4 linked regions of the Sus scrofa genome follow. The protein of the gene in region 3 interacts with the protein of the main gene of each other region in a pairwise test. Links are inferred from orthologs where the notes say so. Each region holds a gene or a part of one and is shown on either strand. Other genes may lie near its edges.

The links.
Region 1: the proteins of CCDC136 (region 3) and FAM107A interact in binary tests that used the Homo sapiens proteins (3 or more experiments, as listed by UniProt). The two-hybrid records come from large-scale screens. The link is inferred for Sus scrofa from reciprocal best matches to the Homo sapiens genes CCDC136 and FAM107A.
Region 2: the proteins of CCDC136 (region 3) and C2H19orf66 interact in binary tests that used the Homo sapiens proteins (3 or more experiments, as listed by UniProt). The two-hybrid records come from large-scale screens. The link is inferred for Sus scrofa from reciprocal best matches to the Homo sapiens genes CCDC136 and SHFL.
Region 4: the proteins of CCDC136 (region 3) and melanoma-associated antigen B4-like interact in binary tests that used the Homo sapiens proteins (3 or more experiments, as listed by UniProt). The two-hybrid records come from large-scale screens. The link is inferred for Sus scrofa from reciprocal best matches to the Homo sapiens genes CCDC136 and MAGEB4.

Annotation. Positions count from the first base shown.
Region 1 is NC_010455.5:40,365,588-40,373,432, reverse strand, and holds the start of FAM107A (protein FAM107A), read left to right. Parts: upstream 1-3,724; 5' UTR 3,725-4,001; coding exon 4,002-4,025; intron 4,026-7,845. UniProt on the Homo sapiens protein: Stress-inducible actin-binding protein that plays a role in synaptic and cognitive functions by modulating actin filamentous (F-actin) dynamics. Mediates polymerization of globular actin to F-actin. Also binds to, stabilizes and bundles F-actin.
Region 2 is NC_010444.4:68,938,652-68,946,366, forward strand, and holds the start of C2H19orf66 (UPF0515 protein C19orf66 homolog), read left to right. Parts: upstream 1-3,594; 5' UTR 3,595-3,901; coding exon 3,902-3,922; intron 3,923-4,393; coding exon 4,394-4,517; intron 4,518-4,712; coding exon 4,713-4,762; intron 4,763-6,377; coding exon 6,378-6,416; intron 6,417-6,559; coding exon 6,560-6,709; intron 6,710-7,174; coding exon 7,175-7,278; intron 7,279-7,419; coding exon 7,420-7,574; intron 7,575-7,715.
Region 3 is NC_010460.4:19,804,854-19,812,116, reverse strand, and holds part of CCDC136 (coiled-coil domain-containing protein 136), read left to right. Parts: intron 1-582; coding exon 583-694; intron 695-1,764; coding exon 1,765-1,933; intron 1,934-2,182; coding exon 2,183-2,323; intron 2,324-2,658; coding exon 2,659-2,817; intron 2,818-3,082; coding exon 3,083-3,253; intron 3,254-3,920; coding exon 3,921-4,106; intron 4,107-5,919; coding exon 5,920-6,114; intron 6,115-6,581; coding exon 6,582-6,812; intron 6,813-7,263. UniProt on the Homo sapiens protein: May play a role in acrosome formation in spermatogenesis and in fertilization.
Region 4 is NC_010461.5:25,891,823-25,899,544, reverse strand, and holds the start of melanoma-associated antigen B4-like, read right to left. Parts: upstream 4,122-7,722; 5' UTR 4,001-4,121; intron 1-4,000.

The DNA.
Region 1 (7,845 bases), on a different chromosome or scaffold from region 3:
CATGGACTTACCACTACTTTTATTAGCAGCATCATAACAGCAGTGCCTAGGGGGTCCCCTTTGTGGCTCAGCAGGTTCCAAACCCTAGGATCCATGAGGATGTGGGTTCAATCCCTGGCCTTGCTCAGTGGATTAAGAACCTGGCCCTGCCATGTGCTGTAATGTAGGTCACAGATGTGGCTCGGATCCTGCATTGCTGTGGCTATGGCACAGGCCAGCAGTTGCAGCTCTTATTCACCCCCTAGCCTGGGAACTTCCATATGCTGCAGGTGCAGCCCTTAAAAAAATAATAAATAAATAAAAATAACAGCAATGCCTAACTTCTATGGAGAATTGCTGTCATCCACCTATTCTTTGCAAAGAGCTTTACTTGAATTACCTCGTTTCATACAGCCCCTGGGGTAGGGATCGTTGTTATCCTTTTACACATAAGAAAAATGAGGCTCAGAGAGGTCAAGTGACTCATCCAAAGTCACACAGCTAAGGAGCCTCAGAATAAAGACTGGAATCGCAGTCTATCTCCATCACTATAGGAAACAGACTCTTCTTCAGAAACACTACCCCTCATGGCGCGGTGGTTAACAAATCTGACTAGGAAACATGAGATTGCAGGTTTGATCCCTGTCCTTGCTCAGTGGGTTAAGGATCCGGCATTGCCATGAGCTGTGGTGTAGGTCGAAGACGCGGCTCAGATCCCGCGTTGCTGTGGCTGTGGTGTAGGTCGGCAGCTGTAGCTCCGATTAGACCCCTCGCCTGGGAACCTCCATGTGCCAAAGGTGTGGCCCTAGAAAAGACCAAAAAAAAAAAAAAAAAGTAATTCAAAAACACTGCCCTAACATTACTCTGAGGTAAACAGTGTTTCCCGATCCCCCTCTCTCCTCCCCCTTCTCCTGCCCTTCCTCCTCCTCCTGAATGCCTCTGATGACATTCGAAAAGTGCTCAGAATCTGTGTGAACATTCTCACCATCTACCATCATTCTTGGGAGAGATGGATGGGGTAGGTATGGGAGATTTGTTCTTCTCAAAACTCTTTCACATTTTACAGGTCTTGCTATATTTCACAAAGTTGTGGGTCAGGAAGGAGCAGATTTTTATCCCCATTTGCAGACAGAGAAAGAGAGGCCAAGAGCTGTGCCCAGGCCACACAGGGAGACTGGGCAAAGCTGGATCTGGAACAGCTGGTCTTGACCCTTGACCACCAACCATCGTTTCATAAATCATCAGTGTCTGTATTTGAATCATCTCCCTTGTACCAGGCTTTGCCACCTGGAGCCTTAAAATAAAGGCTCGGTGGGATGGGGAGGGGGCAGCATGCCCTTCCTCCTGCACATAGCATGGGGCCCGAAGTTTGCATTTCAGACCCACATGCTGCCAGGAGCCAGGCTTCAGAGCTTCAGCCAATCAAGTCCTCTAGTCAAGCAGGTTTTCCGTGTGGCTGATAAGCCATGTTTCAGCAGAACTCCTAAGCAGATGGGGAAAAATTAACAAATGTGTAAAATTACTTTTCTCTCTTCCTATCCCACCAAGAGCCAAGCCAGTGGATAATTATGGGATGGCTGCCAGAGGAATTTGATCTTCAGGGTTGTCTCATGGCACTTTTACTGATTTAGTTTGCTGCTCTTTCCAATTTTGTGGACTCTCCTTACTGCAGGGAATCAAATGCTACAAACATGTATACCCCTGCCATGTTTGGAACAGGGAAACAAGTAATGAAGAGCAGTCGAGGCAGGGGCTGGACCCAGGAGAAACAGCAAATAAAGAAGTCATACTTTTGCTTGGCTGGAGGGGGCAAGGGTGTTGGGGAAAATAGAGCAACAAGAAATACTGATAATTCCATGCAGGGAGCACTTGTGTTGAGCCAGGACTGTGTTGAGCACTCTATATACTTGGACTAGTTCATCTAATCCTCCTTCACTTATTTATCCACTTCACCAATGTTTTGTTTGTTTGTTTGTTTGTTTGTTTTTGCTTTTGAGGCCCACACTTGCGACACATGGAGGTTCCCAGGCGAGGGGTCAGATCGGAGCTGTAGCTGCTGACCTATGCCACAGCCATAGCAACACAGGATCCGAGCTGCCTCTGCAACCTACACCACAGCTCACAGCAACACCAGATCCCCGAGCCCCTGAGCGAGGCCAGGGATCGAACCTGCAGCTTCATAGATACTTGTCAGATCGTTTCTGCTGCGCCACAATGGGAACTCCATCCACCAATATTTATTGAATGACAGCAATGTGCCCAGCACTACTTGAGTCACAGGGGGTAAACTGATGAACAAGACAGACTACGTCTCACTTTTGTGGGGCTGCCATTCCAAGTGGGGAAGCGCAATGATAAACACAGAAATAGTATCATCCCCGTTTCTGATAAGTGTGGTGACAAAACAACAGAGAACCCAGGAGGCTATTTTGCATAGAGAGTCAGGGAAGGCTTCTCTGAAGAGGTGAAACATGAGCCTGATGATAAAGAGGAAAGACTCATGCAAAGATCAAGAATGGAGTCAAGGGAGATAGGACAGATTTCAGGCAGAGAGAACAGCAAGTGCAAAAGTCCTGAGGTAAAGGGGGTGGTGGTATGGCCAGGAACTGTCAGGGAGAGAGGGATGTTGGGCCAAGGTCTGAGGGGAAAGAAAGGTTGGATAGATGAGACCTTGAGAACCATGGGGGATTCCATTCTATGGGCAAAATCAGATCTAGAACACCTAATATTTGCCTCTTCACCCCCAACTATCACTTCATAAATCATCAATTTGTGTCATAAACCATCACTGTGCCAGGCACTGTGCTGGAGGAAAGGGAAGGGTTTCCCCACCCACCCAGCTCTTGGGGAACAGCGTTGTGCTTAAACTAGTTTCCTGGGACTTGCCAATGGGCAGTGGGTTAATCACCAGTATCACAACCAACATAATAGCAGCACCTAAATTCTACGGGGAATCCTCTGCTCAGCTTTACATGAATGACCTCATTTCATCCTCACAGCCCCGTAGGCTGGGGCCGTTGTCATCCTGCTTTAGCCAAGAGGAAGATTATAAAACGGGGAATGACGTGATCAGATTTATGCTTTAACGAAACAAAGGCTTCAGCTGTACCCACCTTCCCTTTCAAACCTCACAGCAGCCCTGTGTGCTGATTATATGACCCCACACACACAAGAGGAAGGACCTAAGGCTCAGAGAGGTCAAATCATGGGAGGAATAGAGCTATGACTCCAGCTCAAGGTGACTCCGGCCTTAACCTTGCCCCACGCTGGCAACATAGAGAAGCAAGTGGGTGAAAGCAAGGAGGAGGCCGACTGCTGGGGGACGTTGAGAACTTGGCCCCGGGCCTGGAATCTGGCCTCCAGATATTTTCCTGGCCTGAGCCCAGACCAGCCACCCTCTGGCCCTCCCCGCCTGGACCGTTGCCCCGTGGAATGAAGTGTGCTGCTCTCTCTGTCTCTGTGCGGGGAGAACCCCGGGCCCGAGTGCCTTCTAAGATCTATTATTCATGGGGCCGAGCAGCCCTGGGCTTCATGGCCCCACACAAGCCCTCCGATCCCCATGCCGCGACAGCCCCACGCAGCCCCTTCTCTCTCATCTGGGGGCGAGAAGGTCAAGGCGCGCCCTCTGGACCTGCCAGGGGTCACTCGCGGCGCCTGAGCTGCCGACTGTGGCTGCGGGGTGAGAGGACGGTTTTGCTTCTCAATGACGCCGGCTGCCTCTGTCTCTCTTCCCCGAGAGGGGCAGGGGTGCAGGAAGCGAGGAGCTACAGGGACCCGGGGAGGGCATGTGGCTGCCTGGGGACACCGGGCCCCTCCGTCAGGATCAATCACCCTAAGCCTGTCTGAGGAGCTGCCGGCTTAAGAGCAGCTGTGAAAGCTGCCTTTGTGCCTGAGGAGAATGAGCCACGAGAGGACTGGGGACCCCGGGAACCCCTCGGACCTCGGCTCCTGAGATCAGCGCTGCAGAGAGGACTCCAGCCCGGCCCCCAGGGTCCAGCCAGGCTGGGTGTCCACGTCATACCATGGGAGCTGCCCAGGGGAAGAAGGTAGGAGCTCCCAAGGGTCCTGTGGGGGCCCTGGACACGGGAGGGGGCTGCATCTATCAGGTGGGAGTCCTCACACAGCACCCACCAGCTCCTTGGAGCCTCAGCCAGGCACTGCCCGCCCACCTCCCTCCCTGAGCTCACAGAAAAGATTTGCATCTAGAAACCTGGCTGGGGCTCAGGGCAAGGCCAGCCTCTGATCCTTCCATCTCTGAAACAGACTTCCTGGTCTTATACTCACACACCCCTTTACTGCCCTGCTACAGGCTCCCTAACCAACCCCTGCCACCACCACAAACAACCACCCCCAGCCTCGGTTCAGGTGGATGCAGAGTCAAGGAAAAAAACCAATGATCACTGTAATTAAGCTGGCTAACCAACTGTCACCAGGTGTGGTAAAGCTGTGGGCAAATGATTGATGCTCTCTGTGACTCATTTCGTCATCTGTGAAGTGGGGACAATAGTAATCCCTACCTTAGAGGCCGGCAGTGAGAATTTAAAGATGTGAAGTGTTTGACAGAGTGCCTGGCCCAGAGTGGGCTATATACAAGCTGTGATCTGTTGTTAGCAGGACTTTCATGTTATTTCTCATCACCTTCTCAGTCTGGGATCTCACTTGGGAAGGTTATAGCATAGTCAGTGCAGTATTCCTTGGAGTGTGGGAGGGGGCTTGTCAACAGTCACCTTCTCAGGCTGACATCAGAGTCTCTGAGGAGGGACTGGGATTCTGAGTCTATTCACCTGCTTTCAGGGGGCTCACAGCCCATACCGACCACAACTGTGATCCCAGCAGTGAGGTCAGGCTGCCCAGGTCCCAGCTCATCCACCTACTTACTGTGAGGAACTAAGCCTCTCTGGATCCCAGCTCATTTGTAAAGTGGAGCTGGTACCCATCTCGTGGGAGGTTCCATGAAACGTCGCCCTTCAAGCACTTATGATGCTGCCTGACAAGCAGAGAGCCTGATACCACAGAGGCTCTAATCCTCAAACAAGTCATGATGCGTTAAAGGCAGGGAACTGAGGCTCAGAGGCAAGACGTGATTTCTTAGCCAGGGTCATGCAGCTAGAGGAGAAAAGGGAAGGATTTTGATCCCCTTCTGCTTGACTCCAAACTTATGGCCAACCCAGCCCATCCTACATTTTTCAGATTTGGAGACAAACACATCATGGACCACAAGGAGGAAGCACTCCGGACTTCAATTTCCCCATTTGCAGAAATGGGAGTGTTAGGCTAGAGGACCCCTAAGGGCGTTCTAGTGCTGGCTTCTGCTTTCCACCTCCCTTGCTTCATATGCAGAGTCAGGCCTGGAAATTTCTGCCTCCCTTCAGCATCCCCAAAAACATCTCCCCCTGAAAACTTGATTATCCTGGGGCTGGCACTTCCCCCATGCAATGCTTACTCCTGCCTGCAGGGGTCAGTGTGGGTCAGCTGCAGTCAAGGCAGGTGGTGACCTGACACAGCCTTTGGGAGTCCCAAAGATGCCTTCCCAGCCAAGCCTTGAGCCCCGGCCCTAACCAATCCCCACTTTCAGGAGCACTGTTCCTGCTCCTTCTCTCTGCCAGAAGAGAATGAACTCAGCCTCTAGACCCTATCTGTGCTGACCATGAAGGTGGAGAGTCATCTTGGAGACCAGCTTCCCAAACCTAGAAAAGACCCTAACAAGGTCTAGCAAAATATACCTTGAGTACCACCTCCCTATTCTCTCACATGTGGCAGACATCACAAATTGATCCCTGCACATTTTCCCACTAAGTCTAGAGAGCCTCACTGTCCTCAATACAGCAAACCGGGACTCCCCTAACAGTCAGTCAGAATTAGCCCCCAGGTTGAAAGCCATGCTATCCATGGGCCCAGTCCCTTCCCACGCCTTCTGGGAAAAGCCCTCCCAGAGAGAAAGCAGCAGGGAACTGTGATAGGAACGGGAGCTTTAGAGTCAGCCAGATCTGAGTCAGTTCCTCCACATCCTCGTTACCTTGGGCAAGTCACCACACCTCTCTGAGTCTCATATTCTACTTCAATAAATGAAAGATAATAGGAGTTACCATTGTGGCTCAGTGGTAACACACCTGACTAGGATCCATGAGAACGCAGGTTTGATCCCTGGCCTCTCTCAGCAGGTTAAGGATCCAGCATTGCCATGAACTGTGGTGTAGATAGCAGACATGGCTTGGATCCCAAGTTGCTGTGGCTGTGGCATAAGCCAGCGGCTATAGCTCCAATTCAACCCCTAGCCTGGGAACCTCCATGTGCTGCAGGTGCAAAAAGACAACAAAAATAAAAAATAAACAAAAGATAATAATCCTCCTCAGATTGTTGTAAAACCTAAATGATAGCATGCCTGGGAAGAAATAGGCACATATGCAATATAGTCTCTTCCTGAAGTGGACCCTCTCTTAAGTGCATCCTCTTCTGAGCCTCACAAGTCTTCTTTTGAGCCAATGAGGGCATCCATATCACACCCAATGGCTGATGAAAAAGCTGAATCCCAACAGACATAACTTCCCCAGCTTCTCAGTGGTGAACCATCAAGGAGCAAAGGCTGTGAGCGAGCTAGGTCAGGCTCTCTCTGAGCGATCCTTCATCTGTGAACCACCCCCACCCAAAGCCCCATGTGCCCACCTCTCTTTCTCTTTCTGGAGGCAACAGCCCCACTGGCCTCTGGGTGATGTGTAACAGGCTTGCTGTGCAGAATGTAATCACCCTCACCCTTGCATTTCTTCTCCCACTGGCTTGTCCTGTAAAGTTCTCAGATCCGACCCACAGTTATGGTTTGTTTGTTTTTTATTACTCAATTTATTACATTTATACTTTTACAATGATCATCACAATCCAATCTTATAGGATTTCCATCCCACAACCCCAGCACATCCCCCCACCCCCAAAACTGTCTCCTTTGGAAACCATAAATTTTTCAAAAGTCTGTGAGTCAGAATCTGTTCTGCAAAGAAGTTCAGTCTGTCCTTTTTTCAGATTCCACATGTCAGTGAAAGCATTTGATGTTGGTGTCTCATGGTACAACTGACTTCACTTAGCATGATAGTTTCTAGGTCCATCCATGTTACTAAAAATGCTGGTATTTTGTTCCTTTTAATGGCTGAGTAATATTCCATTGTGCATATGTACCACCTCTTCTGGATCCACACCTCTGACTATGGACATTTACGTTGTTTCCATGTCTTGGCTATTGTAAATAGTGCAGCAATGAGCATCAGAATACATGTGTCTTTGCAAGTCATGGTTTTCTCTGGATAGATGCCCAGGAGTGGGATTGCTGGGATCAAATGGTAGTTCTACGTTTAGTTTTCTGAGGAATCTCCATACTGTTTTCCACAGAGGTCGCACCAACTTACAATCCCACCAACAGTGTACTACAGTTCCTTTTTCTCCACACCCTCTCCAGCACTTCTTGTTTGTAGACTTTTTGATGATGGCCATTCTGACTGGGGTAAGGTGGTACCTCATAGTGGTTTTGATTGACATCTCTCTAAGAATGAGTGATGCTCAACATCTTTTCCTGTGTTTTTTGGCCATCTGCATGTCTTCTTTGGAGAACTGTCTGTTTAGATCTTCTGCCCATTTTTTGATGGGGTTCTTTGGTTTATTGGTATGGAGCTTGTGGAAGGTGTTTATTAATTTTGGAGATGAATCCCTTGTCAGTGGATTCACTTGCAAAGATTTTCTCCCATTCTGTGGGTTGTCTTTTCATTTTGTTTAGGGTTTCCCTTGCTGTGCAGAAACTTTTCAGTTTGATTAGGTCCCATTTGTTTGTTTTTCTTTTTATTGTCAATACTCTGATAGGTGGATCTGAGAAGATGTTGCTGT
Region 2 (7,715 bases), on a different chromosome or scaffold from region 3:
GTCCTATTTTGGCTATCCCACAGCATATGGAGTTCCTGGGCCAGGGATCAGATCTGAGCCGCACTTGCAACCCTGCCAGGCCAGGGATCGAACCTGTATCCTGGAGATGCAGAGAAGCCACCAGCCTCATTGCGCCACAGTGGGAACTCTGGGGTTACACTTCTTATCACTGTTATCGGCACATCTATTTCATCCCCTTCTATGCCTTTTTATGAAAATAAAGGATAAAATGCAGTAAAGTTCACATCACTGCACCAGCCACATCTGAACAGCCCAAGATGGCCACAAAGCTCAAACAGAGCTACTGGCAGGCAGGCAGCGCCCCCACGTGATCGCTGGGAATCTTTGTTTTTCTGTTCACCTACAAATGCCAAAATTCAACACTTGGGTTGTATCTTTGTCCCTCCAGATTGACTCTCACCCTTCTCCCCCTGCTCTGAGCCCTGAGAGGCTAACTGTGTGACTGACTCCCTTACTTTCCTTACCTTCTGGTGCAGCCAGTGAAAGGCTCCAGCAGGAAATGGTAGGGGAGGAGCAGAAAGAGGACCGTCTTTATCCCCCAATCCCTAGACATGGGCTAGATCTAGTGACTGGATTTTAACATAGAGGATGCAGCAGCAGAAGTGGTGCTATGTGACTCTGGAGGTTAGATTATAAAGATACAACTTCCACCTGGCTTTCCTTCCTCGGATCACTTGTTCTGAGGAGGCCAGCTGCCAAGTTGAGAGTATCAAGCTCAAGCAGCCCAATTAGGGAGGAACTGAGGCATCCGGCCAACAACCAGCAGCCACATACCTGCCATGTGCATGAGCCACCTCGGAAGTAAGATCTTCTAGCCCCAGTCAAAACTTCAGATGACTGAAGTCCCAGGCAACATCTCGATTATAACGTTATAGAGACCCTGAGTCAGAAAGCCCAGTTACTCTTGGATTCCTGACCCAAAAAGCTATATGAACTAAAACGTGTTTCCTTTTTTTTTTTTTTTTTTTTTTTTTTTGCTTTTTAGGGCCACATCCTCGGCATATGGAAGTTCCCAGGATAGGGTTCAAAATGGAGCTGCAGCTGCTGGACATAGACACAGTCACAGCAACACGGGATCCAAGCAGCATCTGCAACCTACACCACGGCTCACAGCAACACCGGATCTTTAACCCACTGAGTGAGGCCAGGGATTGAACCTACATCTTCATGGATACTAGTTGGGTTTGTTTCTTGTTTTAAGCCACTAATGCTTGGGGATAATTTGCTATGCAGCAATAGAGAATTATAATACCTGGTAACAACAGTCCCAGGCTCCCACCTTCTACCTGGAATTCTCCCCCTCGCCACATCCTTCAGATCTCCCCTCAGCTGTTACTTCCCACAACCATTTCTAAACTCCCTTTACCCATCCCCCTACCCAGTTCATTTTTCCTCCTGGCACTTATCTCCTATCCTTGTTTCTTGTCTCCCCTACTAGAATGCTAGCTCGATGAGGATTTGTTTTATTTGGTGCTGTGTCCACAGTGGCTGGCACAGAGTAAGTTCTCACTATGGTGGCCATTATGATGAGAATCTAGCAGACCTGACTTGTAACAGGGCTGTTTTAGGTTCCCACCCGTTTCCTACCTGCTCAATGCCCACCCTAACCAAGGGATGGGATGTAGCCATGCCCTCCCCCTCCACTGGATAAGGAGTAATTGGCAATTATAATGGGAGAGCCCCTCCACACCTCCCCACTTCCCTCAGGATAAAATCCCAGGTCCTATGTGCTGCCTAAAGGCCCCCATCCCTGCTTGCAATCCCACTGGCCAGCCACAAAGAACTGTGAACTATTTATATTCACTAATAGAGCAGGCTCCAGAGAAAGGTGCATAGACCCCACAAACAAAAGGTTGAGGTTCAAGAACACATTAGAACACTTCTCTTTTTTTTGTTTTTTGGCAGCCCCTTGGCTTATGGAGTTCCCAGGCCAGGGATCAGATCCAAACCACAGTTATGACCTATGCTGCAGCTGAGGCAATGCAAGATCCTTAACCCACTGTGCAGGGCCGGGGATCGAACCTGCATCCCAGCACTCCAGGAACACCACCGATTCCGATGCGTCACAGTGGGAACTCCGGAACATTTCTATTTTTTTTTTTTTTTTTTTTTTTTAATAATATTTATTTATTTATTTATTTATTTTTGCCTTTGTCTTTTTGTCTTTTGTCGTTGTTGTTGTTGTTGCTATTTCTTGGGCCGCGCCCGAGGCATATGGAGGTTCCCAGGCTAGGGGTTGAATCGGAACTGTAGCCACCGGCCTACGCCAGAGGCACAGCAACGCGGGATCCGAGCCGCGTCTGCAACCTACACCACAGCTCACGGCAACGCCGGATCATTAACCCACTGAGCAAGGGCAGGGACCGAACCCGCAACCTCATGGTTCCTAGTCGGATTCGTTAACCACTGCGCCACGACGGGAACTCCCGGAACATTTCTATTTTTAATGTCCTTTTTTTTTTAGTCTGCTGAGGAATATCTTTATGTACTGAATACATTATTATTAAATAATCTATGGAATCTCTCAGTATAATTGTATTTGTATATAGTTTATACACAAATAGCCACCTGGGGATGGAGCTTGAACATAGGGGTGCTCACTGAAAAATGATTTTTGGAGTCATTTGTCCTAATGCAATTTAGCCCCTCAGAGGGTATTTGGCAGCATCTGGAGACACTTTCAGTTGTCTCAACTGGGGCAAGTGTGCCACTGGCATCTGGTGGGTAGAGGCCAGGGATGCAGCTCAAAACCCTACAATGCACAGGGCAGGTCCCCACCACAAAGAACCATCCAGCCCCAAGTAGAGCTGAGGTTGAGAAGCCCTAGATTAAAGCGCTAGATTCTCTTGATTCTGGGGTCTTTGCAGGACTAGCTCCCTCCTTCCCTACTCCATTCTTCGCTTAGCTGAGACCTCATACTTCAAGGATTCCTCAGAGAAGCCATTTCTGAAGCCTTCAGGCTGGGCCAGAGCCCTTCCTAAGAGCTCCTCTAGCCCCCTCTTCGCCCCCTGCTAGGTTAGAAAAGTTCGGACCCCTGGGGTTCTCAACCTTCCCATTTACAGTGTAAATTCCCTGTAATCCCCTAGACAGCCTAACTCTGGACAACTGCTAGAGACCCCGGGAATTTGTGTTCTTAACAAGCATCTCTTCCTTCCCCCCAGCTGCTTGCCCCTCCTTATCTTACACATAGTAGGTGACCCAGTGACCAGTTAAGTGTCTACAACCTGCCAGGCGCTACTAACTGCTCTACGCAGGGAATCGAATCCTGGCAAACACACACCGCCCCCGCCACCGCCCCGCCGCCAAAATACACCCAGACTGTAGCCACTACCATCATCCCATCTTACAGAGGAGTAAATTGAGGTTCAGAAAGGGGACGTGGCCAGGTAAGAGACTCAGAGCAAGAAAGGGGTCCAGGTGCTGAATACTGCCTGATTCCCGGGGAGGGGAGGGGATGGAACAATGAAATGGGGGGGCGCGAGCTAACGGGGGCGCGGAAACTCGCCGCGGCCTTCCGATGCGGCCCCACCCCCACGAGGGACGTGAAGACGCGGACCCCGCGCAGCGTGGGGACATGTGACCGACTGCAGAGGCCGCGCTGCCTCCCCCGCCCGAGGTCTGCGCGCTCCGCCGCAGGGTGCAGATCGGTGGCGCCCGCCTGGGTTTGGGGCGCAAGAGCAGAGGCGGAGCCAAGGCGGAGCCAGCGCGCCCCGTCCCCCCTTTCCCTATCGAAAGCGAAACGGAGGGCCGGAAAGGAAGGGCGGAGCCCGCCTGGAGGCCCCGCCCCCTGCCCTGCGCGGCGGCAGGACCGACGGGCGCGCCCAGGTAGGGGGTCGCTGAGCGCGCAGTGCGGACCCTCGCTGGGACCTGCGCCGCCACCATGTCTCAGGAAGGTGTGGAGGTAGGAGATGGCTGCCAGTGGGCCGGGGGCCTGCGAGAGATGCTGGGGAGGAGTTCGGGGCGCGAAAGGGGCTTCGCAGTTCCTGGGGACTCCATCTGAAACCCAGACCAATCCTTAGGCTGGCACTCGTTCCCCTCAGAAAGGAGAGTGGCCACCACATGCCCTAGAGCGAAATGCGGCCTCCTCGAGGAAAAGCGGAGGCTGCTGGGTCAAGGGTCAGAGGCCAGGGGTTACCTGGCGGGCCTCCTCTCTTAGCCTAGGACGCTCACCCTGGTCCGCTCCCTCCCCCAGTGCCTTGTAGGGACTTTGGCTTTTTCCAGGAAATGCAGTAGAGGGATTGGGGGGGGGGGGGTGCTGTGCAGAAGCCAAAACCAAGGGTCAAGTTCAGGCCAAGAAAAAGGATGCCTAGGGATGGGGGAAGGGCCATCGCTCCTCTCCTTCCTCCTTCGGAGCCCCCTGTCCCCACCCCAGCTGGAGAAGAGCGTCCGGCGCCTCCGGGAGAAGTTTCATGGGAAGGTATCCCCCAAGAAGGCGGGGACTCTGATGAGGAAATTTGGCAGCGACCACACCGGAGTGGGGCGCTCCATCGTGTACGGTGAGCAGGCCGGATCGAGGGCCTGGTGGGGGTTCTGCAGAGGAGCACTGGAGGGGGGTGTGGTCTGTGTTGGGGGTAGAAAGAAGCGATGAGATCATCTCTTTGGGGAGCGGTCTGTATCAGGGGTTCTGGGGACACTGAAACTCCCACAAGATCTTTCAAGGGCCCTTCACTTACACTTACTCTCCCCACCAGGGGTAAAGCAGAAAGATGGACAGGAACTGAGTAATGACCTGGATGCCCAGGTAAACTGTCCCTCTCCCTCAAAGGATGTGCTAAGGGGAGGGAGAACAGAAGGGTAAGCTCATTCACGCTGAGCCCCCGCTGTGCACTGTCAGTCCACAACTCATGGTACAGCCTCATTCACTTATTCACCTCTCAGTCTTGTATCTGGCTGGCGGGCCTGCAAACAGTAGGTGCTCATTACATGCTGACTGTATTCAGTGGGGGTGAGACAAGAAACTAGCCAGTGAAATGAATCGGGATTAATGTCATTTACAGAGGAGCCACAGAGGTCAGGGAAGGCTTCCTGGAGGAGTTGGAAGGAAGTTGTTCAAGATCAGGGAGGAGTCATCCCTGGGAAGGGGAGGAGTCAGAAAGGGTCTTCCTGGAAGAGGGAGGCTGTGCGAGCAAAGGAACATGCGGACAGGCTGGGATGAGCAGGAGGTGGGGGAGGAGAGAGGGGCAGGGGATCCCAAAGGAATGAATGAATGAATGAATGAAAGGCTTTGAGGCATAGACACAACAGGGCCACTTTGCCCCTTAGATGGCTTTGGTGTCTGGTGCACTGGTTTCACCTGTCTAAAAGGCCCAGCATAGAGTTCTTAAAAAGTGTAATAAAGGATGAATTACACTCTTAACATTCATATATTTACATTTATACATATGATGAGTATGATAAAATAGCAAAGAGTGTCATTGATAAAGCACTTCCCCTGTGGCAGGACTCCAGGACTTTTACCTGTTGACTGATTTCATTGCCACAGGTCCTATGAGACAGGTCCTATTAAGATACTAGCATGTCCATTTTACAGATGAGAAAACTGAGACACAGGGTGATGAAGCCACTTGCCAGGTTCATGCAGAAGGCAGGTGACAGCTGGGATTTGAACCTCCGCCACCTAGAGTCAGAACCTGGGCTCTTAGATGTCCCTCAGTAGTGGGAATGGCTTGGCTACACCCCCACAGCTGGAGGTAATGAGGCCAGGATTTCAACCCCCATCTCCCTAAATCCAGAGCCCAAGCACTTAGCCTAAAGCAGCATGGCCTCAAAGAGGTGACCTGTCACCATGCCAACAAATGTGTGGCATTTGTGAGTAGGACAGGAGCATGGGGTCCAGGCCTGCCCCACCAGGTTCACTCAGGGTAAATTCAGCAAGCCCTCTCCCAGCTCTGGGCCTCAGTTTCCCCATCTGAACAATGGGGGTAATAAATATGCCTACCTCTCAGGGTTGCTCTAAGGACAACTGAAGTCACACATCCTGCCCTGAGGAAATAGATACTTCTCAGTCAATCAACTCCTCCTGAGTTAGGAACACCCTGCTTTTTTTTTTTTTTTTTTTTTTTTTTGCCACTTCACGGCATGTGGAGTTCCCAGGCAAGGGATCAGACCTAAGCCTCAGTTGCAACCTAAGCCGCAGCTGTAGTAATGGAGTATCCTTAAATCGCTGTGCTGGGCCAGGGATCAAACCTGCATCCCAGCACTCCCAGGACACCATTGATCTGGCTGTTCCACAGCAAGAACTCCTAGGGACACCCTACTCTTAATATGGGGCCAGAACCCCCGCTCCCCAGAAGCCCCACCCACAGAAAAGATGCATGAGCCACATCCCCAGTTTCTGCCCTGGTGTCTCCACTTAGGACCCCCCAGAGGATATGAAGCAGGACCGTGACATCCAGGTGAGTCCAGGATGTGGGACGGGAAGGTGAGCAGGGAGGACATCCATGGGGAGGTCCCTAGGTGAGGACGAGGGACGCTGTAGGGGGAGGAAGGGAAAAAGAGGGCTGACAACCCTCCCATCCCCACCTACACCATCCTACAGGCAGTGGCAACCTCCCTCCTGCCATTGACAGAAGCCAACCTACGCATGTTCCAGCGTGCCCAGGAAGACCTCATCCCTGCCGTGGACCGGCAGTTCGCTTGCTCTTCCTGTGACCACGTCTGGTGGCGCCGCGTGCCCCAGCGGAAGGAGGTGATAACCCAACCCCTGACCTTGGTTCTGTCCTGACTCCACTCCCAACCCTCAACCTCAGTGTCCAAACCCTTGACGGAAGAACATCAGCCTCTAAGAACCCAACCCCCGACCTCCAACCTCAGAGATCAACCCGAATCGCATACCCCAACCCCGACTGGACTTCTCTTTCAACTTGAGAAGCTCGACTTTTACCCCAGAGCCTGATCTCGGATTACATAGTTTGACAGCTACCGCAGAAGTCAAACCTGACCCCCCGCAACTACAACCCTATATCTGGCTTCTGAACCCCTTGACCAGTGGTGTGCTTCTGGTAAATGCCTATTAGCCAGCTCTTGTGGGGTGGAGGCAACCCCGGATTTATAGTGTTTGCCAATTTCCATTGTGTAAATCTCACTGTGGTCAACATCAAGCTGTTGGTACTTACCTCTGACCTCAAGCCGGCTCCCCTTTCCGCACCCCCAGGTGTCCAGATGCAGGAAATGCAGGAAGCGCTACGAGCCAGTGCCACCCGACAAGATGTGGGGCGTGGCTGAGTTCCACTGCCCGAAATGTCGGCACAACTTCCGGTGAGGGCACAACTTCTGGTGAGGGTTCTGACCTCTAGTCCCCACTCTCGGCCCCGCCCCACCCCACCCCTGCCCCTCCTAGCCCCGGCCCCACACTGGCCCAGGCAGCCCTTGGACCCTCACGGCCCTCCCCGCCCCCAGGGGCTGGGCGCAAATGGGGTCCACATCCCCCTGCTATGGGTGCGGCTTCCCCGTGTTTCCAACACGGATCCTCCCTCCGCGCTGGGACTGGGACACGGATCGCCGCAGCAACCACACCCACTCCTGCTCAGCTGAGGACTGCTACAACCGGCGAGGTGAGGGCCTGGTGTGTCCCCGTGGCCTTCCCCAACTCTGGGCAGTCTACCTGGCCTTGATTCCTGGGACATCCACCCTGGGGATTTAAGTACCAGGGTTTCTGCTTGCCTCTTCTGCACACCTCCCAAGGCCACATCAGT
Region 3 (7,263 bases):
CTGCTGATGCCTGCGGATGATTTCTGCGTGTGGTTGGCGTGGGCTTTTTCGTTAGCACATAGAAGATCATTAGAATTCTTGACCGAGTACAGGCCAATATATTCAGTGTGGTGATAAAGGCAGTAAGAGGATGTCAGAAAGTAAAAGGGTGCCCGGGTTGTGTTGAAAGCCCAGGCCTGACAGTGTGACATCTGACTGTTCACGCTCTCAGCTTTTTGTGCTAAAAGTGTAAGAGGAAACCAACCATAAACAGTTGAATGGAAACTTTAAATACAATAAACCAAGAACTTTAAGAAAATGCTCACAAGCTCCTAAAATCCCAAGACTCTGTCTTGGTTGGGGTTTGGAAGATGGGCAGACAGGGGAAATCTAGGAAGATGAAAAGAAGGGCGGTTATCTGAAAGAGGACAGAGGTCCACTGCAGCATGGAACTTTCCGGGCCTCCGCATGTGGTATCTCTTCTGTCTTTAGAAAAAGAGAAACTATTCAGCTTTCTGCAGTCAGATTTCTAGGCAGGGGAGTTGGGGGCTGGTCGTCAGTGCTGCCTCCATGGGATCTCACCTCTCTGCCTGTCCTCTGCAGAAGAGTTGCAGCAGCTGCGGGACCGCTACCGCTTCCTGAATGAGGAGTACCAGGCCCTGCAGGAGAGCAACAGCAGCCTCACAGGGCAGCTTGCAGAGCTGGAGAGTGAGAGGTACAGCCCGGAGGCGGGGGCCCTTTCCCCGAGTTAGAACCAGTGAAGGCAGGTGCCAGGCTCACAAGCTTCACTCGGCCTCTGGAGGGCTGGTCCTTACCATGGTATCCAAAGGGTATGGATATTGCCAGGAAGCAGACCTGGGGATCCAACCCAGGTATCCCAGGACTAGAGTTGAGTGAGTTCTAAAATTTACTTCTCTTCTGGAGTTCTCATCGTGGTGCAGTGGAAACGAATCCGATCAGGAACCATGAGGTTGAGGATTTAATCCCTGGCCTTGCTCAGTGGGTTAAGGATCCGGCATTGCCGTGAGCAGTGGTGTAGGCTGGCGGCTGTAGCTCTGATTAGACCCCTAGCCTGGGAACCTCCATGTGCTGCAGGTGCGGCCCTAAAAAGCAAAACAAACAAACAAAAATAAATAAAATTTGGTTCTCTCGGAGTTCCCATTGTGGCTCAGTGGTTAAGGAATCTGACTAGGAACCATGAGGTTGCCGGTTCGATCCCTGGCCTTGCTCAGTGTGTTAAGGATCCAGCATTGTCGTGAGCTGTGGTGTAGGTCGCAGACACGGCTTGGATCACGCATTGCTGTGGCTCTAGTGTAGGCCGGCGGCTACGGCTCTGATTAGACCCCTAGCCCGGGAACCACCACATGCCTTGGGTGCGGCCCTAGAAAAGACAAAAAAATAAAATAAAATAAAATTTGGTTCTCTTCCATTCTCAGCATTAGTTCTGGTGTGCTCTGCCCTAGCATAGATGAGTAGCAATCCTTGGTTGTCCTCACAGACTTTATTCAGTCTAATGGCATATTGCCTCCAGATTGGAGCTGGCTTGACTCCAGGCCCAACCTCGAGCCCAGCTGGACTAGCACTCCCAGAGCCAAACAAGCCTTTGCAGATGGAGGTGCTAGGGGCTTTTCCGTTATCTCCTGAGCGTGTTTGAGAGGTGAATCACAATGTAGAAGGCTCCTGACTATCCTTTGCCTAAAACAAGGCATCAGGACCAAGCACACCTGGCGGGTGATGCCAGGCAGAGCTCTCTCCCAGTCATGGCTCTGGGGTTCTGGGTTACAGGACACGAAGAGCAACAGAAAGGTGGCTGGAGTCCCAAACACTGCGGAGTATGATGTCAGCAGAGTCTCAGACTTCAGAAGCCGACTTCCTGGAGCCTGATCCTGAAATGCATTTGTTGCGACAGCAGCTGCTGGGAGCTGAGGAGCAGATGCATGACATGCAGAGCAAGGTAGGGAGAGGCAGGCGCCCTTCACTGGCTGCTTCTCACCTTCTCCTGGCCTGTGGCAGCAACACCTCCTTTGACACGAGGCTGACGAAGGAGGCACGTGCTGTGGCAGGAGATGGTACTCCACGGGCTGGCTTGCTCGCCTGCTGGAAATATCCCAGTAAAAAGAACGCCATGCTCTGCCCAAGCCCGTTCCTGGAGTGCACGTGCCCATCGTAGTAAGTCAGCCTTCCTGATCCGTTTCCCACACAGTGTAAGAAATTGTGTTGTGAGTTGCAAGAGCTGCAGCATCATCACCGGACCAGCGAGGAGGAGCAAAGGCGGCTGCAGAGGGAGCTCAAGTGCGCACAGAACGAGGTGCTTCGGTTTCAGACTTCCCATGACGTCACCCAGGTAAACACTGACAGGGGAAGGGCATCGGGGAGGGCAGAGGGCCCACATGGAGTCGCCCCCTCAGGGGAGGCCCGACCCAGAGGAAGGCTGCATTCTGCTGACCCTTGCCCTGCAACCAGGGGTACATTCCACCAGAGAGCAGTTGGCAAAGTCACATAGCATGGCATTCTAGAAACGGTGGTCATTATCCAGCGTCTGTCCCAGAGAAGACACTAAACCATGGGCCCGTGGGAGCTCCTCAAGATGTCTGCCTCTGGAAACGAGCCACTCTGGTCTGGAGAGGGGTCTGCTGATTCATGAGCGTAACCGTTCTGTCCACACCCTCCCCACCGCAGAACGAGGAGCTGCGGACCAGACTCTGTGCCCTACAGCAAAAGTATGATGCTAGCCAGGATGAGCAGAATGAGCTCTTGAAGGTGCAGCTACAACTTCAGGCTGAGCTCCGGCAGCTCAAAATCACGAAATCCCAAGTCGTAGAAAGCCAGAGTGAGAAGGTAACACCCACCAGAGGTGAGGGGCCGCTTAGGTGCCAAGAGGCTCGGGGGGAAGGGGATAAGAGCAGAGCACTGAGATCGCGCCAGCGACCCCCTGTGCGGTGCCACAGGTGAGGAAGTCCAGGAGTCCTCCGCCAGCTGAGAGGACCCCCCCAAGTGCAGGGCAGGGGGAAGCGGGTTCTCAGACTGTCCGAGTCTGAGAGCGACTCAAGCAGAAGAGCGGCTGCGGATCCCAGAGGTACTGCCCCGGGCCCCTCCACCGCAGGAGTTACTGTGCCGGCTCCAGAAGCTGCAGCTGCAGTACCAGAACATCACGTGTGAAAAGGACAAGCTGCTGGACGTGCAGCAGCAGCTGCGGGACAACCTGCAGTGCCACGAGGCGGAGGTGCAGCACCTCAAGGGCGTCGTGGCCTCCTTCCAAGACAGCAGAGAGAAGGTAAAGGAAGCTGCAGGTGACAGAGAAGGTAGCGGCAGGCTCTCCCGTGAGTGGACCCAGGAGGAGAGGGATGGTAGGAGTTCTGTGGAGGAGCTCTTGGCGGCAAGGAGAGAAGAAGGTGCTTAGTGGAAAAGTGATCTCCGAGGGTCATGATGGGCCCAGCTTCCTTTAATTTTGAATCAGAAAATCAGCCTGTAGGGGTTCCTGTTGTGGCATAGTGGAAACCAACCCAACTAGTATCCATGAGGATGTGGGTTCAATCCCTGGCCTCGCTCAATGGATTAAGGATCTGGCGTTGCCGTGAGCCGTGGTGTGGATCACGGACGCGGCTCAGAGACCGTGTGGCTGTGGCTGTGGTGTAGGCGGGCAGCTGCAGCTCTGATTAGATCCCTAGTCTGGGAACTTCCGTATGCCACAACTACAGCCCTAAAAAGCAAAAAGCAAAAGAAAAGGAACCTGTCAAAAGGAAGCCCCTTTCCTTCGCCACCAAAAGAGGGCGTCCCAGGGTAGAGCCTGTTAGGGACTGGCCCATCGCAGGTCGTTCCCGTTGGGATGAAACCAGGACTGGAGAGGACAGGGTAGGCTCCCCTGAGTCCCTGCCTGACAGGAGGGGGTGCAGCCACAGGGGCTGCTGGGGTGACGGCAGGGTCTGCCTCCCCCGCCCCAGTACACGGAGATGCGCGCCCAGCTGCAGGAGGTGAAGCGGCTCCACCAGACCAGCCGGGATGCGCTGGAGCAGCAGAAGCACATGTACGATCAGCTTGAGCAGGACTTCCTGCTCTGCCAGGAGGAGCTGCAACAGCTCAAGACCACCCAGGCCATCCAAGAGGACAAGGGGCAATGTGCGAATAAGGTAATTGTTATTAAGAGAGGTGAGAGCTCCCGAGCCCTGGAAAGAGGAGGTATGGGGACAAAAGATGAAGTCATCCAACCGAGGGGCTTGATGGACTTCCTGTCCAGTCGCAGCTCACTGTGGAAAGGCAGGAAGCAGAGGCAGCGCCCCATGCAGTTAACTTTAAAACTTTGCCTTGGAGTTCCCGTCGTGGTGCAGCGGAAGCGAATGCGACTAGTAACCATGATCCCTCGCCTCACTTGGTGGGTTAAGGATCTGGCATTGTCATGAGCTGTGGTGTAGGTCGCAGATGCAGCTCAGATCTGGTGTGGCTGTGGCTGTGGCATGGACCGGCAGCTGTAGCTCCGATTAGACCCTTAGCCTGGGAACCTCCATATGCTGTGGGTGCACCCCTAAAAAAAAAAAGCATCAACTTTACCTTGACTTTGAGTCCAAGCCACAGTACCTCTGGATCTAGTCTGAAGATTTTATACATGATTCCATGTGTGTAGACATGTATACCTTGTTATTAGAACTGTAGTGCTACCTTGTCATTCGTGGAGAGGAACACACACATCGGCCCATGTGCATAACTCTTTTTGTCAGAGCTAGAAAGAGAAGGTGCCGTTTTCTGAGATGCTCTTGTCGAAAGGCATGGTCTGTGCCCAGAGTGCTGACTGGGTATGAGAAGGCCCTGGGCTCTTCCAGGATTTATTCTGTGCCTTCAGAGTAGTTAAATTCCAAGCGTGAATTAAGCTTTGAATTTATCTTTAAATGGAACAGAATGCTACTCTTATCTCACTTTCTTTTAGGAGAAAATCCTGGTAATGATAAGGCCTACCTTCTTCATTTTCCCCTTTTTTTTTCTATAGTGTGCCAAATGCACATCCTTAGCAGTCAGGCTTGTTGAGCACTTTCAGCTCCCGGTCACCGCTAGGAAATGGAAAGATGTTGACACATGATGGAGAAAAGGGGCAAGATTCTCAAAAGATGGTGGAGCCAGTCGCCTCCTGCCACGGCCGACAGCGGGCTGTGTCCCCAGGGAAAGGCTTTCGGAGGACACAGCGGGGGAGGTGATTTCCAGCTGCCTGTCTATACCCAGGCTCACTTTCCTCCTCCCCCCACTCCCACTTCACTGAGAGGTCTGGGGGTCCGCAGCGTGCTCATCGCCCCCTCTCCTAGCGGAAGAGACCACGAAAGGGAGAAGCTGCTGGCCTACAGAACCGGCCTCTCCTTTAGTCCTAAAACAGCAGCGAGATTAGTTGGATGTTAAAAGATTTCGGAAGATTTGGGTTTTTGGAATCATGGGATGATTTAGTCTTTTCAACCAAAATTCAGAAATTCATAATCTTCTAAAGATTCTTAAAGCTGATCATGACAACAAAACTGGGGGGAAACTAGGGTGAAGGGTGAAAGGTGAAAGGACGTGTCCTCAGCGGTAAGGAGCATAATTGGTTATAGAAAGATCTGGGGATAAGGAGAGTAACAGGAACGGGAATTCCCTACAGGGGAAAAGGGTACAGATCTGCTGAGAAGGGAGGGACTTTGATAACTCGCTCCCTTGCCAGCCGTCCTCAGAGAGGAGTACAGCCCAGCCCAGCGGGCGGTCCAGAGCAGCCTGTGGGCTGCCCTGTCAGCATCGAGGCCTGCAGGGGTGCAGCGGGGCTTGGGGTGATCTGTCTAAGGTGACTGTGGAGCAGGGGGGAGACCCTGATGAATCACGAGAGGTAAGAGTGCAAAGGCACTCTCGTGCCCAATTGGAGAGGCAGAGACAGGGGAGCCTGCCCCCCAGGGTAACGGCCCCTCCTCCGTACCGCACCCGCCCCGCCCGCAGTGTGACACCCTGCTCTTCAGACTGACAGAATTGCAGGAGAGGTACAAGGCCAGCCAGAAGGAGATGGGCCAGCTGCAGATGCAGCAGTGCGAGCTCCTGGAGGAGCAGAGGAGGATGCAGGAGGAGCAGGGCCAGCTGCAAGAAGAGCTGCACAGGCTCACGTTCCCGCTGCCCAAATCTGGTCTCTTCCACAAGGTAACCACAGCCAGACACGGCTGCTAGCTAGGAGAAGCCGCTCGGAGGAGCTTCCTGGGTGTGACTGCACTTGGGAGAGGTAAAAGGGTGGGGCTCCAACTTCTTTTCCTAGCCAGCCACTCCCTACTTGCTCACCAGTCCCCTCAAACAGAACAGTTGAGGATAACTGATTAGGGTCTTAAGTCTTAAAATGCATCCTGTACTCTGGGATCTGTCCAGCATTTCATAGTTAGATATTTAGTCTGTGCGCAGAAAATGTTCTTGAAAGAACTTTGTCAACTGCAAAATGCATCCCAACGTATAAGGTCACTACCACTCAACGAATAGGTCTCCATAGAAAGACTACAATGCCCCTGGCCGGTGGGCTGTACACTGCCAGCTCCCTTAAGGCAAGGGTCCCCGGCGGGAAGGAGGCAGAGGTCTCCCCGTGGAACCACCACAGCTCCTGCCTCCTTTGTACCTCACAGAGTCAGGAGCTACTTACAAAGTTACAAAACCTGTGTGAACTCCAGTTGCTCTACCAAGGCATGCAGGAGGAGCAGAAAAAACTGATACAGAATCAAGAATGTGTAATAAAGGAGCAGTTAGAACTGCACAGCGCACTGCAGCATTTCAAGGAGTCTGGTTTCCGGGAAGTGTTGGAGGGTCCTGAGAATTCCAGATCACCCAAGTCCTCAAAATGTGGTAACAGTAGCAAGGTAACCATAGCCGGACGTCGCCCAAGGCAGGGAGCCGGTCCCGGGGGCAGAGGCGTGGCAGGCAACGGGGGCTCCACAGAGGGGTCAGAGTTGGGAAGGCCTCTTTCGCCAGGAGCAAGGAGGAAGCGAACGCCCTGCCCTCGGAGCCAGGACCAGGGACCACTGGGCTCATTAAGATTGGCTTTAGATATGACCTGAGCTCGTTCCCCAGATGCATACCCAGGTGAAGCTCTGCAAACCCTTAGGACCTGGCAGTCTGAGATCTCCTGATAATTTGACTCAATCCCTTCGACCTCGCGTCTTCCAGTTGTACTTAGAAGGAGATCAACCTAGTGTTTACTTGGATTCCTTAGGACCGACTCTCAATGTGTCCTCCTTTCCTCGCGAGCCAGGTGGTAATGGAAGCGTGTGCTTTCCAGTGTTCAAAATCGGTGACCTCGTGGGGGCCTCC
Region 4 (7,722 bases), on a different chromosome or scaffold from region 3:
GAATACAAATTCCATAGGAAAGTCTGTGATTTGAGGAATTTGAGAGATAATCAGAAAGAATACCCCTAATAGCCTATATATTTTTTCTAGTAGTCGATTACTTAGTAGTAAGTAGAAATATTTTTATTTATTTATTTAATTTTTCGCTTTTTAGGGCTGCTCCCGCAGCATATGGAAATTCCCAGGCTAGGGGTCAAATCAGAGCTGCAGTGGCTGGCTTACACCACAGCAAAAGCAATGCCAGATCTGAGTCGTGTCTGCGACCTACACCATAGCTCAGGGCAATGTCAGATCCGTAACCTACTGAGTGAGACTGCGTCCTAGTCAGGTTTGTTACCGCTGAACCCCAAAAGGAACTTAATGAAATATTTTTATTTTTAAATCAAGTGACAAATTCCTAACCATGTCTTCAATGTTTTCTACAAATCTATCTTTTACGGATAAAAAGAAACTCTTTTTTTTTTGGTCCATAAAAGACAAATGGCCATTTATACTTATGAGTTATTTAGGAAGAACTGGGAAGAAAACTCCCACTGTTCTTGCTACCTCACACCTGGTCCTCTCCAGTGGGTCAGAAATCTGATTAGAGAGAATTGAGATAAAGACCCCAGCTCATGGTTGGCTTTCCTCTTGGTCTCCCTAGAATAAGCATGCTCACAAGCAAAACAATTTTTCTCAGGAGTTCCCATTGCAGCTCAGCAGGTTAAGAACCCGACTAGCATCCATGGGGACTTGGGTTTGATCCCTGGCCTCACTCAGTGGGTTAAAGGATCTGGCGTTGCCATGAGCTGTGGTATAGGTTGAAGAAGCAGCTCAGATCTGGCATTGCTGTGGCATAGGCTGGTGGCCGCAGTTCAGATTCGACCCCTAGCCTGGGAACCTCCATATGCCACAGTTGCAACCCTGAAAAAAAAAAAGACAAAACAAACAAAAATACAGTTTTTCTCAAAGCCAAGGCACATCCACTTGTTACTTTTTCTCTCATCCTTCATGCCAAGTGAGGTTTGAGAATTTTAATTAAATAGGTATTTATTTGTTGCCCTTCTATGCCCATCAAGAATGCAAACTTCTAAAGACAAAGATTATGTCATTTTATTGACTATGTTTATCACAGACACTAGCAAAAATTTTTATTCGTACTTCATGTACATAGTACAAATCTGTTGGATGCTGTATATAATCCTCTCATCCTACGTTTAGTTAACTTAGACTTTTGGCTGGCCCTTAAATATTCTCTAGGTTTTCCTACTGTCATGCCTTTGTTATGCTGTTTCTTCATTCAAGGCTCTTTCTCTTTAATTCCCACCAGTGGTCTCATTTTTTTCCTTTTTGAAATCTTATTGATCCCTCAAGGTCTAATTCATCCTCAGACATCCTCAGTGATTTCTCTCCTAATAAACTCAACCAAATATGCTCTAATCCTATACACACTTGTACCATTTTTTTTCAAAAATTTCTCTGAAGGGGGAGTTCCCACTGTGGCTCAGCAGGTTAATAAACTGATTAGTATCCATGAGGATGCAGGTTCAATCCCTGGCCTTGCTCAGTGGGTTAAGGATCCAGCATTGCCATAAGCTGTGGTGTAGGTTACACATGCAGTTTTGATCTGGAGTGGCTGTGGCTGTGGCATAGACCAGCAGCTTCAACCCCTAGCCTGAGAACTTCCATATGCCATGGGTGCAGCCCTAAAAAGACAAAAAAAAATTTCTATGAAGGAATTTATCATGTTTCAACTTATATTTTATTCAATCACATGCATACTTTCTCCGTTCCTTTTGATTACAATTTTTCTAAGGCTAAGGACTATGTTTTAGTTATGAATCTTCAAAAGCACCTGGAACATAGCGGATGCTTTAAAAATGTTTTTCTACTGGAGTTCCCGTTGTGGCGCAGTGGTTAACGAATCTGTCTAGGAACCATGAGGTTGCAGGTTCGATCCCTGCCCTTGCTCAGTGGATTAAGGATCCGGCATTCCCTCCCATGAGCTGTGGTGTAGGTCACAGATGTTGCTCGGATCCCGCACTGCTGTGGCTCTGGCGTAGGCCAGCGGTTGCTGTGGCTCTGGAGTAGGCCAGTGGCTACAGCTCCAATTGGACCTCTAGCCTGGGAACCTCCATACGTCACGGGAACAGCCCTAGAAAAGGCAAAAAAAAAGACAAAAAAAAGAAAATGTTTTTCTACTGGCACTGCTGGCATAACTCTATCATTTTAAATTATTTAATCCATGGATTCAACAGCACATAACTGGTTACCTAAGTTAGCTATAGTCTGATTGATTTATGTAACTAAATAATATGTATTGATTTTAAAACACCAATGACACATATTTAATAATTCATAAAATATGATTTCTTGCATGCTAATTTAAGTTCTGTTTTCCAAGTAAGAAAGTTGTGTAATAATTGTAATATGACTATAGAGTGGCTGCATCATTACTCTAATCATAAGAATCTTTAAGAAATGCAGATTTACTTTTCCAGATTACTGAGAGTTACAGGTAATATGCTATATATGTGTTTAATTTTAAAAACTTAAAGAGAGATACATTATCTAAAATGAGAGAGAATCATGAAAGAAAAAAAAATATTTTCTCATTTGTAAGAACTTGGACTCCTTAAGGCATCTGATAAATATAAAAATGATACTTTCAAAAACTGTAAGAAGATGAAGATTCCTGATTGCTGAAGGTTTTACTTTATTCAAACATGTAGCACCAGATCATGTAAGGAGAATCTTATTCTGCTTAAAGCCTGAGCGATTTGATTTGCTGCTTTCTGTCAGTGTAGAAGTTGACATTTTCTACTCACACAGATATATTTTTCCAACATTGTAAAACTGTTCAGAAAATGAGCTATGCTTGTAAAATCCTTCTTCCGTCTTATCACTAGGTGATTTTTGGCAATTAACCCCATCTTTTAATGCTAAATCAACCTAAAATGCCAAAAATACAATGAATACTTGTACATATGTCTTTCTAATCAGATATAGGAGTACTTATATCCACTAAGAACTATTCATCCAGAAAATGATTACAATGATTTAAGTGGGTATATTATAAAATTTCAATTGTACTTAAGAACTGCATAATGTTTGAAGCTGCTCTGAGAACTTGTATCCTACAAACTGGTAAAATAACATTGATCTGAGCTGCCTACATGTTCTTTTGTTCACCTTTTAAAACTTATAACAGGGAACCCATTTTCTTTTTTAAGGCTGACACAGTTTATGCTTCATCTTTTGACCTTCATTGAAGAAAGTTTGTTTTCTGTATCATATAATGACATTTGTATACCCCAGCTTCTATTGTGCTATTTGAGGATACTTCATTCAACAAAGCTTTACTGCTGTCAGTCTTGCCTTGTCTTGTCAGAAACACATGACATATTAGAATTTAAAAAAATTCATAGAGGGTTGATAAAGTTACTAAGTACAAACTATTAATTTAGGTGTAGGTGGAACCACAAGATATAGGGCAAGAACCTGAGGCTAGTAACAGTGGAGTTTGTCACCATCCCTAGGTCCTAAGAAACAAGGGAGAAGTTATTGGAACTCAGAACATGACAAAATTATGTAGAGTAGGCTAACTCAAGAATATAATTTGAGAAACAGAGCCAGCCCAAGGCAATGGTGCAGGAAAGGATTGTGGAGAATAAATACCCTATTCTCTTTCTCCTTTCTCCCTTCAGTCTCCCAGAGCTCCCTGTAGGTTAAACCCAACCAGAAGACAGAAGGTACAGGAACCCTGCCAATGTGGCCTACAGAGACATCAGTCAAGTAACAGGGAAGGAAAGAGCACATACCTAGAGAGGAAAACAGCAGATATCCAACAGAGCTCCTATGCTATATACACAGTGAACACCACACCCCCTGACCTTTAATGTTCCTTATAGGCACAGCCTCAATGAAATAAGTCAGTATAATAATGGGTAGATTAATTCCACCCTTTTCAATACTTGCCTCAATGAACTGGCATCATTTTGTAGTGTTTAATAATTCTCACCTGTGTTGCCGGGTGCTGCTTAATTACGGGAGAGTTTCTATTGAGGATTTTTAGCCATCTTTTGAGTCCATAGCTGTTGCAGAACTTTGGCTACCATGTTAGTTTTGGATTACGATTATTTCTTAAAGTGGAAAAAAAAAAGTGAGGCACAGTTAAATCTTGATTTCCTAGTCAAAGTCAACAACACAGCCTAGGAACTAAAATTTTTAGCACCCATCATTTCAACTCTCTCACCTATATTTGCTCTATGTAAATTAACACCCACAAAACTGAATAGAAGATTAGCACTGAACTCTTGCAGACAGGTGGAGAAGAATTATGACATCCGGCAATCTGTGAAATATTCTTGTATTTTTAACTGTGTATTCTTGTGTTTTGGGCTGTGTATGGGGCCTTTCCTGAATTGCTTTCCTTCCCTCCGTTGCAGCAATCTCCTTACAACCTTTTCCCTTTGGTCAGAAAAGGGGGGGAAGTGCCAACATAATTAGTATGCCAGAGTCAGTAATACTCCGCTGCCAAATGGCTTCTTGATTCAAATTAATGAAAACATGGCTAGCTGTGTCAACAATGGGGTCCTCAGCACCAAGAGGCCACAGCTCATGTCATGAAGAAGACGGCCCAATTCCACTTCCAAGATTGTGTCACTGAAGAACCTTTCCTAAGATATGGACCGGGTTTGCTTTCTGATGTGCTTCAGTTTCCTTGGGGGTGAGGGGCATGGAGTCTTTTGTGATCACTCTATTATAAAACATTCTTCACACACAGAGGAGATGCACTTGAGCTACTTCCCCCAAGTCAACACAGCTCACCCTAATGAAACACTGAGTATGCGCCAAGTTTTGTGCTAGGTGCTAGTGATAAGATGAATGTCACCCTGCTGACAAGGAGACCAATGCATAAAGAGACAAACACACACAAATGATTGGTCCTTGTGGAGCTCAGAAGAGGGAAAATAGAGTCTTTATTGGAGAGATAAAAGCTGTTTGGGGCTGGATATTAAAGAACGGATGAATATGGCATTCACAGATGGAAAAGTGAGAAGAGGAACTTCCAAGCAGAAGTGATGACTAGTGCAAATTGTGCAATTATTTGCAGTGAGCACAGGACAAGTCATAAAACCAGTAACTTCAGCAGGTAATGAATTACCATAAGTATGTGTTGATATATTGGGAACAGAAATTATTTACCATTTTCTATAAAGTCTCAGTGTCTAGCACAGGACATGATACAGAGTAGGGATTTCATAAATGTTGAAATGTAGAGTCATCAGTGACTTTTTAAAAAAGGTTTTTCAATTTATTTTAAGACATGAGCACACCATCAATTTTGAAGTGACCTGGAGAACTTACAATCTTTACCAAAATGAGTCAGACTACATAAAATGCTAATTTAGTTGATAATGAGGGAATGCTGAAGAAACATAATAAGTTACGATTTTTGATATGTAGGCTCACATCTTAAGTCTAAACATTTGGGATTAGGAGGCATCAATTAATCGTCAGATCCCTGCACATCTTATGGGCAATCATCCCTTTCATATTAATCCATGAGTGCTTTATGGGGCTCAGTAGAGCTTACTCTGGGACTATCGTGAGTTCCCAACTCAGCCTGAGGCCAGCAACAGGAGAGATTACAAGAGTCCCTTAGGAACTGTGCCTGACCTGCACTGTCCATGTCAGAGTTGGCTGCATATTTGAAGACTGTATCAGACATCCTTTGATATATGCAAGCTTCCACCACAGAAACACTCATGTGTATGCATACTGTGTTACATTAGGTGACTTTGCTTCTTCTTTTGGGACCACAGATGCTACAGTTTAAGAGCAAGAGGCTAATGTTCCTCCAGCTGACACAAACCTACCAGTCCTGACAGTGACATCAGTAAAATTTGAGACTTCCCTACAAAGAGGAGTGGCATATAGAAAAAGAATAAGCTATCAGCAATGTGCTTGCTAAGAAAAGCAACAAGCTTGGTGTGTTTTAGAGACTAGGTAATGAGAAGGCCAGAGGAGCAAAATGCAAAGAGAACTGTTGGAAGAATGTTCAATAATGCATTTGCTCAGATCCACAGACTGGAAGCTCTCAAACACTATGGTGCGAACTAAAGATATGCCAAGCAAAGGAAATTAATTATTAACAAAGTCGGAGTTCCCGTCGTGGCGCAGTGGTTAACGAATCCGACTAGGAACCATGAGGTCGCGGGTTCGGTCCCTGCCCTTGCTCAGTGGGTTAACGATCTGGCGTTGCCGTGAGCTGTGGTGTAGGTTGCAGACGCGGCTCGGATCCCACGTTGCTGTGGCTCTGGCGTAGGCCGGTGGCTACAGCTCCGATTCAACCCCTAGCCTGGGAACCTCCATATGCCGCGGAAGCGGCCCAAGAGATAGCAACAACAACAACAAACAACAACAACAAAAAAAAAAAAAAAAAAAAAAAAAAAAAAAAAAAACAAAGTCAAGGCAGCACAGGAATCATAAGATTAGTGACTTCAATTTTAAAGTGAAAAAATTACAAATAAACTGTATCCATAATGTAAGAAGAAGCAGTTGTAATTTCATAGCTCCTACAATTCCACCCCACTGAGCACCCAAATTCCTCCAAATTGTCCTCCCACTTTCCCCCCAAAAAATAAGACTTTGTTGTTGTTGTTATTAAATCATAAGTTAACAGTTACTTTTGTATTTGAAAGTTCAAGGAAAACTCTTCATTTGAACATGTTATAAAGTCCCTTATAATTTGACAGCATATAAAAAGAACACATAAGGACTAAATTTTTCATAGAAACAATTCAGCGATGTGACATGAATGGAGCAAAAGAATTTGGGGAATTATAGCACAGGTTCTTTAGTGACCAGGGCACAAGGACTGGGCAAGTCCAATGCAAACTGGAACCAAAAAGTAGGTACATCAACTGCTGAAGACTTTGCCTGAAGCAGAAAGAAAAGAAGTAACTATCCTGGCTTCCTCCCTTGTATTATCCTTCAATCTCTTCTCAGAGCCTTCTACTGGCTGCCCCAACCAGAAGCCATCAAGCAAGGGGTACTGGGGAATGTACTATGCAGAAAACATGCTCACAAATTCTCTGACATTCCCACTACCAGAAGTAGAATCTAATTCCCTTTCTCTTGAACATAATTTGTCTTAGTGACTTGCTTCTAAGGAACTGAATGTAGCAAGTAGAATGCATGATTTCATACAAGAAGATATAACTTCCACCTTGTTCTCTCCTGTCTATCATGAGAAGACAGGTTCTTTGAGGTGCAATCCAACAGAGGGAATTTAACATAGGGAAATCATTGCAAACAGAAGTTTGTAAAAGACCTGAAAAATTAAACAGAGGGCAGAGATGCAGTCTACGGATTAGCAATAGCCAAACAGATAGGAATAAAAGACCCGTATAGGTGGTCTGGTGATAGCTCCAGCTGAAGTTCCAGCTGACAGATGGTATGGAGGGCCAAAAAAATGATGGAATAAACCTTTAGATGAGTCTAATCCCAGTATTCAAGACACCTGATGGTGTCACATGAAACAGAAACAAGCTGTCTCCACCAAGTCCTGCCCAAATTTCAGATCCATGAGCAAAATAAATATTGCCATTGCTTGAGCCACTAAGTGGTGTGGTAGGATGTTAAATAGCAATGGGTAACCCCAACAGGATCTGAGAGCAAACAAGCCAATGGCACGTACAACATTGTTCTTATTTTCTCATTTCTGCTTCAGCTAAC